2 linked regions of the Nothobranchius furzeri genome follow. The protein of the gene in region 1 interacts with the protein of each later gene in a pairwise test. Links are inferred from orthologs where the notes say so. Each region holds a gene or a part of one and is shown on either strand. Other genes may lie near its edges.

Region 1 (4,000 bases):
TCTATTAAAAGGTCTTATTTTGAGCAGTACAAATAAAGGGATTTCCCCATAAATACATTTTTGGATTCTTTTAGTTTAATAATCAAATTTTTTACAGTTCATGAGGATGTTTTACTTGCTTTTGGTCCACATCTTGAAATGTTTGGACAACCCAGCTTTAAATGGTTAAAGACTTTGTCAAATATTTAATAATCAGCAATTGTTTTTTTTAATTTGCTATAACTTGACTTCTGCAGAAACAAAAACATTGTCACTTTGCTTTAAAGCTTGAAGTGATTCATGCGGTGAACTTTATGCTACGTTTATAACCATACGAGTTATCATAAATCCTGACTGAACATGATGCAACCAAATTTATTTGTGAGAACTTAGTGGTTCCTTTATTGTCAACTCTCATTTTGATCAGCGTTTGAACATATTTTATAGACGGTCTAAATAATTCCTCCTTACATAAACATACTCAAATGCTTATAAAACAGCTGTTTCCATTATCTGCTTGCTTTGGCAGGACTGTACATATTTCACAAGGAAAGAAATTCTCAGGTGAGGATCCAGATTTTTCCTGCTTCCACTGCTGAGAAGTACTAATGTGACAATCAGTTTTTGTGACTCTCAATGAAACAGAAGATACTTTTATTCAGGTCTGCACAAAACCAAACTGAAACCACAAGCTACACCATGAACGGACCGTGTCCCTGCTGTGGGTTCTAGGTTTCTGAAGCGTAACTTTCAGAGATGCATCTGACTTTCACTCTCATTGCAGAAAAGTTGCATAACTTTCCTTTATCAGGAGCTGCCCTTTCACAGTCTGCATTACATGAAGGATATTTTGTAATTCAACACTGAAAGTGACATTTGGAACCGTCCCCAGACTGTTCTACCGCTATCGGGATTTGGCTCCACAGCTCGTTCCTCTCGACTACACCAACCACCCAGATGTGAAGTTACCATACGAGCTGATCGGCAGCATGCCAGAGCTGAAGGTAGGCCCACACAAGCCCTGCAGACCCACTCACTCCTCTGTTCCCAATTCATAATTGATGACCAACTAATCGACAGAATTCTCTGGAAGGTTGTATGTTACCCGACTCCTTTAAACTTGAAGGATGCTGGTGGGTTGCCTGAGGGCACCCTTGTTAGAAATAACTCAATTATATGCCTCTTTACACAAAATATTGCAAAGGAAACACTCTATGGGGTGCCATTTGTAAAGACATATCTTAATATTTTTGGGTTATTTAGCCAATCATAAGAAAAAATAATGGGAGTTAATTTTTAAGTCATATTTTTACCATGTGATTCATTAATTTATAAACGTTAAATTTCCCAACTAATTTTTTATCCCCAAATTTTTTATTAATTTTCAACTTTAACGCATTTCACAAGAAAAAAAATGAAAATATGCATCACACAAATCTATAAAAGAGAAAAAAAGAAAAGGATAATAAAATACCAAAAAAAGAAAAAAGGAAGGGTGTCCAACATTAGAAAAACTACAATGAGAACTAAATATTTAGTTAGCAAGCTTAACATTTAATTTAGATGTAAATATTTCTTTTACTAACAAAATATTTTGGAGCTAAATATTCGTTCCAAAATAAATATACTTATTTAGAAATTTATTTTCCATACTAAATATTTAGATGCCAGCTAAATATTTTTTGTGGGGGCTAAACCAAAATTTTGATTTTGCAAACTAAATGTTTAGCTCCAAAATAAATATTTAGCTGCAGATCTAAAAATTAATTTTGGAAATTAAATATTTAATTTTGAGCTAGATATATATTTTGGAAATTAAATATTTAATTTCGAACTACATTTTTTTTTGGGAAATTAAATATTTAGTTAGTAACTTATTTGTTTTAAAAACTAAATATTTAGGTCTGACCTAAATAATTGGTTTCTAAAACTAATATTTAACTTTAAAATAAATGTTTAGCTTGCTAAATAAATATTTAGTTGAGAACTTTAACATTTATAAATGTATGAAAAACATGGTGAAAATATGACTTTAAAAAAATACTCCCTTTCTGATAGGCTAAATAACCAAAAATACTCATGTTAAATTATATCGACTTTACAAATGACACCCCATAACTGTGAAGTATTTAAATCATTATTTAGTTCAAGCTTAACATTTTAAAGCTACTTTTGGAACATAAATATCTAAATAATAATAATACCATAAAATAAAATTTGTTAACGTTTTAATATTTTAGCCGAAAATCGAAAGTTTGGTTGGTGTCTGTTCAGGATAACCCGTTTCGACAGAGGATTGCTGAGGTTTTTTCCGAGGACGGACAAGGAAACATGACTCTGAACGACTTCTTGGACATGTTTTCAGTCCTCAGTGAGATGGCGCCTAGAGACCTCAAAGCCTACTACGCTTTCAAGATTTATGGTAAAACGTCAGACTGCATAAAGATTTTTGTTTTTCATAGATTTTGGTTATATCAAGGAAAGAAAAAATGTATTATATTTAAGATAATCCAATATATAGTCATAGAAATAAAGCATCAAATTCATCCGTTCCATTATTTAATATAAAATGAAGGGTTTTAATTTCATGAATATTAAATTAGCAATATATTAAATGTGAAATTAATAAAAATTTAATTCAATTAAAAAATTAATACATTTAATTTTAAAATGTATATAAAGAGCTGATAATTTGGATTATATTCAACAAAATGTTTTTATTATCTTGAATGTTTAAATCAATCCGTGTTATTTTTCTACCGTTCCTCTTTATTTTTTTTAAATCAGATTTCAACGACGACGACTTTATCTGCAAGTCAGATCTGGAGAAGACCCTGAACAAGTTGACTCGTAACGAGCTGACAGAAGACGAGGTGAGGATGGTGTGTGAGAAGGTGATCGACGAGGCGGACCTGGACAACGACGGGCGTCTTTCACTGGAGGATTTCCAGCACATGATTGTCAGAGCTCCAGATTTCCTCAGGTATCGTAATAGTGATACATAAAATGACGTGTAAAAACATGCATTCATGTTAAATTTTTCTTGTCCACAGCACTTTCCACATACGGATTTAAGGAGTTCAAAGAGGTTGAATCCTATTCTTGTAATTGATGGACTGAAAATGGCATTTTTTTATTTTTGGGGATTTAGTCCAGAGATTTTAAACTGCAGAAATAAAAAATTGAGTCTATTAAAAAAAAGGAGACCAGCTAAATTGATTTATTATATCTGAAATAACAGCAGCTTCTTTTGCCATCCAGCCAATTAAAACACTGAAATAAATTACACAAATGAAGTTTTATTTCCATTTTTATTAATAAATCAGAAGTACACACCTACAGCTTGTAGATATTCTTTATATAGGTTTAAAAAGTAAACTTTAACCAATTTGTTTTCTTTTTCAAGTGATATTTACAATCCCCACTTTCTCACTCTCCCTTGAACGTCACGCTATGGAATTAAAAGATGGCTGTTAAAATAAATGTATGTTTACTGTAACATGTGATGAGAATCTTAAGAAAAAGATATGTTTAAAAAAGTCAAACAAGTTCATTCAAAACAAAATATAATCTGCTTATGTTTGTGTTAAAGTTGAGCCACACACACACACGCACGCACACGCACACAAACACACACACACAGTAACAAAGATCCACATATTCAACTACAAATTACACACAGGTCCAAAATTCACAATGCATAGCTCAGCTATGACAACTGGTGGTTAAGACAAATGGTCACGTTAAAGGTCCCAAACTGCTGCTGAAAGGTGCAGAACATCCTCTCCAAACCGTGGATAGAAAATTCTGGTTTTCAGACAAAAAAATGGAAAAGGAGCGAGACTACAGAGCACATTTTAGAAAATAAACTTGAGCTTTTGTTCTCAAACTTAAATTATGACTCAGTTTTAAGTTTGGATGGATTCTGAAGAGGCTAACTGTGTATCTAGCGCCACCTAGCGTCAAACTCAAGAGGGTAAAACTAGAATACTTCACGTGAGAGCCGTTTGTCAGGCTGCAG
Region 2 (4,090 bases), on another chromosome or scaffold:
TTCCAGGAGCAACAGAGAGAAAGAACCCAGTGGAGACGTGTTAGCGATGCGTGGCTGGGTTATCTGGGGGATGGGGGGTACAACCTTCATTTCTGAGCTCTCAATCTCCTGAAAGTGAAGACTTCCCCCTCCACAACCCTTTAATATAGATATGTGCACAAACAATACCATTTTGTTAAACTCCTTGCCACAGAACACACACACACACACACACACACACACACACACACACACCGACTGTCTCACCAACTAAACATTATTAACATGATCCCTTCGGTGTGCTTCCCACTTAAGTGTGATGCTAGCGCTTTGCCTTTTGCCAGGCTGACAGCCGGGCTTAATTGGCTTTTGAAAGACACAAATGCCCTTATGTAACATTTTAAAGCCAGCCTTGGGCACGGCTTCAGTAAGAAGAAACGTTGAAAAAAATTAAATAAAAAAGACAGCTCTTCAAGCAAGAATGAGCACAAAGTCAGAGGTAGTGCAGGTGTACGTGTGTGTGTGTGTGTGTGTGTGAGTGCGTCTGATATGGTTTGGCAGGCTGAAAGATGTAGCGCATGTCAGTCTTTAATCAAAGCAGACAATAACACAGAAATAGTTTTTTATACTCAAACGTCTTTTATAATCAAAAATATTATTCAAGCATTTACAGTGTATTACAACAAATGATTCTATGCAACGGTTGACAGCCTTTACAGAATATGGAGAAATATATTCATTTTTGATATATGATACAAACCGGGAACAGCAAAAAGAGAAGGGGGGGAAAGGGTTTGCAGGATCCGAGTGCTCAGTCAGACCCTGATTTCCTCCCTGATTAGCCCTGCAGACCTGGTCCACGTCGTACAGAGCCACGCGTAGGCTCAGATAGCACGGCTCCTTTTGGGGCGACACTACGTAATGATCCAATGATGGTAGAATCCACTTTTCTGTGACTCCAGGGAGTCAACAAGTCTTAAAATATTTTTGGAGACACAGAGAAAAACGCAGAGATCAAGCTCCAGAGGACTCCATCGCTGCTGCTTGGCATCAACATCCCTGTTACCACAGCAACAGGGTTTTTAAAGTTTCTGCCACCTACACACAGTCCCTGAAGTGCTCAGACAACGTTCCCCCTTGATCCAAGATCAGTCTCCTCTGTATCCTTGTACAGTAAGGTACAGTCCTGAGTCTTTGATAGTTGAGCGTTTTTTTATGTGTACTTTATTTACTTTCACATTGCTACGGTGTTTCTGCTGCCTGTCGTCATGTCCCGATGGTGTCACCCAACAGTCCTAAGTACTCTTGATGCCCTGGAAACCGCAGAAGTTCCAGCGTTTCTCCAGACTTGCTCCAACACCGGTCAGCTCCTGTCGGAAGGTGCAGGGCAGCCGAGAGAGGAGTGCCTCCACCTCACTGGGATTGATCTGGAGAAACAGGAACACAAGCATGAGCAACACGGCCATACTGCACTATAAGTGATCTATATAAATAGCAATCACACATTTACAGCTGCTGTGTCCAATCCTGGTCCTCAAAAGCCACACACCTGTTCAGCATGTCCTCTAATCACCCACTGGTATAAACCACGTGTGTTGGGGGAGACAAACCTCTAAAACATGCAGGATGGTGTCCCCCACATGTCTGAGGATCAGGACTGGACACTACTGATTTGCAGGTGGAAGTCCTTCTACAGTCTGAGATCAGAGCAGATTTTTCAAGTTTCAATGACATTTTATTAAAATGACCACACTACTAATTGTAATTTTAGCTATTAGCTCCAATCCAGCTGTTCTTGTGTTCTTTTAAAAACAAAAGTAATAAAACCAAATCCAAGTGCGAAAGAGAAGTCCGTTCAAAACAAACACAAACCATATGGGCCATGCACGCACACGGCACCATTATCTGAACTCTCTAAAGAGAACAGCTGCAGCTTTTATAATTATGAGCAGTTTGCTGTGTTGTGTGCTGCAGACATGTTAGTTTGTTATGTTTGTTCTTCACTGACAGTTTTCAAATAACGTCTGGTATACATTCACCATTTTCCTTGAAAACATCTGATGAGAATTCCCACAACACACTATTTATTTCTATGACTCACACCTCATAATTAAACATCAATAGCTAACAGAAAACAAGCACAAATGTACCTCTCTTAAAGGTACCATATGTAAGAATAAAGTAAGATAGACATCCTGTGGTCAATTTTGGTTACTGCAGTCCCTTTTTATAAACAAATGGTCCCTTTCTCACTGCCGTTCTGTGAGTTACATGGCTGTTGCCAGTTACGGATCAGCACCAGATGATGCAAGATGACAAGCAAAGACGAGTCATACACAGCAAGTTGATAAGTAGATAAATACATGTCATGTCTTGTGCTAGCACTCTTGGTTGTTTTGGAAACACTCACTACAGTTATTACGGTAATATTTCTCCAGCATAAGTATCGGCCATCTTAGTGTTATAGCTCTGAACCACTAATTAAAGCAAGTAAAACGCCACGGTTGACTCATTATTTACCTCACACATACACTTCACTGTAATATCGAGTTGTTGGTAAAGTAGTTTGAGATATTTTTAGAGCTGACTATTTTTTTTCCACTTGTTAGCTCTACATTAGCCTCTAGCCTGAAAAAAAGTGCTCCCCCATGGATAAAAGTTTAACCCCCAGGGATCCCCCCCACCCCCAAATTGCACACTGGGTAAGACACCTATAAGGTTCTTCAGTTAAGAAAAGCAAGCTTTGGGTGAAGATTCTTGTGTTTCTTTTAGTAGTTTGCTAGCTACAAAGCTACATGTGCTACAAGTACTAGGACAAATTCCTAATTATTCACAAGTTGTGCCAGTAAAACTAAAATATCTCCAAAACTAAACCTCAGATCAGTCATATTTTGACATTTTTAAGCGAGAGGAGATTATACTGAAGAGTTTATATACAACATGTGCATGGTATGTAAAAGTTGGGTTGGGAGTAAAAACCGATATTTTCCGATATTACATTTTAATGCCAATATTGTCCGATAACATCGAACATCCTTAATTACCGGTTTATTCATGCTGCGTACCCCCATAATGATATAACTCATAACCGGTCTCATTTGGACTGCCTCAAACATCCAACATCATATCCTTGACTTGCTTATTGATCAATAACTGCTGTATTCCTCTCAGGCCTCTGAAGCAGAGCGTCAGTGTTTGAATCACGGAGGAGCTGAAGCTACGATCAAGTCTTTTCACTTGTTATCAGAACTGGAGAAGGTCATTCATGCTTTCATCTCCAGGTTTGATTACAGCGAGATGCTTTCTTCTTGTCTGAAAGGTAAATCTAAAGGACAGCTGGTGAAGAGCTGATGGAGAGAATCGACTACATCAGACTCTACTGGCTTCTGCGGAGCTGATTTTAAGAGTCTACTAATGAAGCTTGGTGAGCTCAGACTCCTGCTTTAATCTGAGATTTGATAACCTGCTATGAACACACAGGAGTCAGCTGTCAACAGGTAATCAGCGCTTCTCTAGAACAGCAGATGGTAGAAGTAAATATAAAATCCTGGGCAGGTGGTGATAATGAGTGTTTGTCAGCAGAATATTTCATGAACAACAGGGCCGATTTGGATCTAACTCAGAAAATAATCTTTGGATGTTCATCTACTGTCAGGATACGGTGTTGGTAGGACCCAAAATGCAGTACCCAGGATGACACGAGGCAGGAGATGATATATAAAGAAAATCCCTTTATTTGCAGGATGAGTCAAAAATAAAAATAAATCCAAAGGGCTGAAAGCCAAAAATCCAAAATGTCTAAAAATATAAACCAGAGATCAGAAATACTAGAAACTACGAGAAGAACCAAGAAACACTAGAGCTAGGAACGAGAGACTGACAGAATAACAACAATGGACCGACGAGAACAATGAGACAAGGAGAGGCTTTATACACTGGGGCTGGAGTGATAGGAGACGAGGAGCAGGTGTGTGGAGTGAGGGCTGGAGGGAAGGCAGGTGACAATAATTACCTAAATGGGGAAACAGAACCAAAGGAGGACAGATAAACCTAAAACTACAAATCCAAACTAAAAGGCTGCGGGAAGGACTCACGCACGCACGCACGCACG

What was found.
Region 2: the proteins of cib3 (region 1) and enox2 interact in binary tests that used the Homo sapiens proteins (3 or more experiments, as listed by UniProt). The two-hybrid records come from large-scale screens. The link is inferred for Nothobranchius furzeri from reciprocal best matches to the Homo sapiens genes CIB3 and ENOX2.

The regions. Positions count from the first base shown.
Region 1 is NC_091751.1:45,121,453-45,125,452, forward strand, and holds the end of cib3 (calcium and integrin-binding family member 3), read left to right. Parts: intron 1-508; coding exon 509-543; intron 544-871; coding exon 872-983; intron 984-2,253; coding exon 2,254-2,401; intron 2,402-2,766; coding exon 2,767-2,962; intron 2,963-3,032; coding exon 3,033-3,054; 3' UTR 3,055-3,209; downstream 3,210-4,000. UniProt on the Homo sapiens protein: Acts a an auxiliary subunit of the sensory mechanoelectrical transduction (MET) channel in hair cells. Plays a role in regulating hair cell MET channel localization and function.
Region 2 is NC_091741.1:82,228,315-82,232,404, reverse strand, and holds the end of enox2 (ecto-NOX disulfide-thiol exchanger 2), read right to left. Parts: intron 1,407-4,090; coding exon 1,275-1,406; 3' UTR 596-1,274; downstream 1-595. UniProt on the Homo sapiens protein: May be involved in cell growth. Probably acts as a terminal oxidase of plasma electron transport from cytosolic NAD(P)H via hydroquinones to acceptors at the cell surface.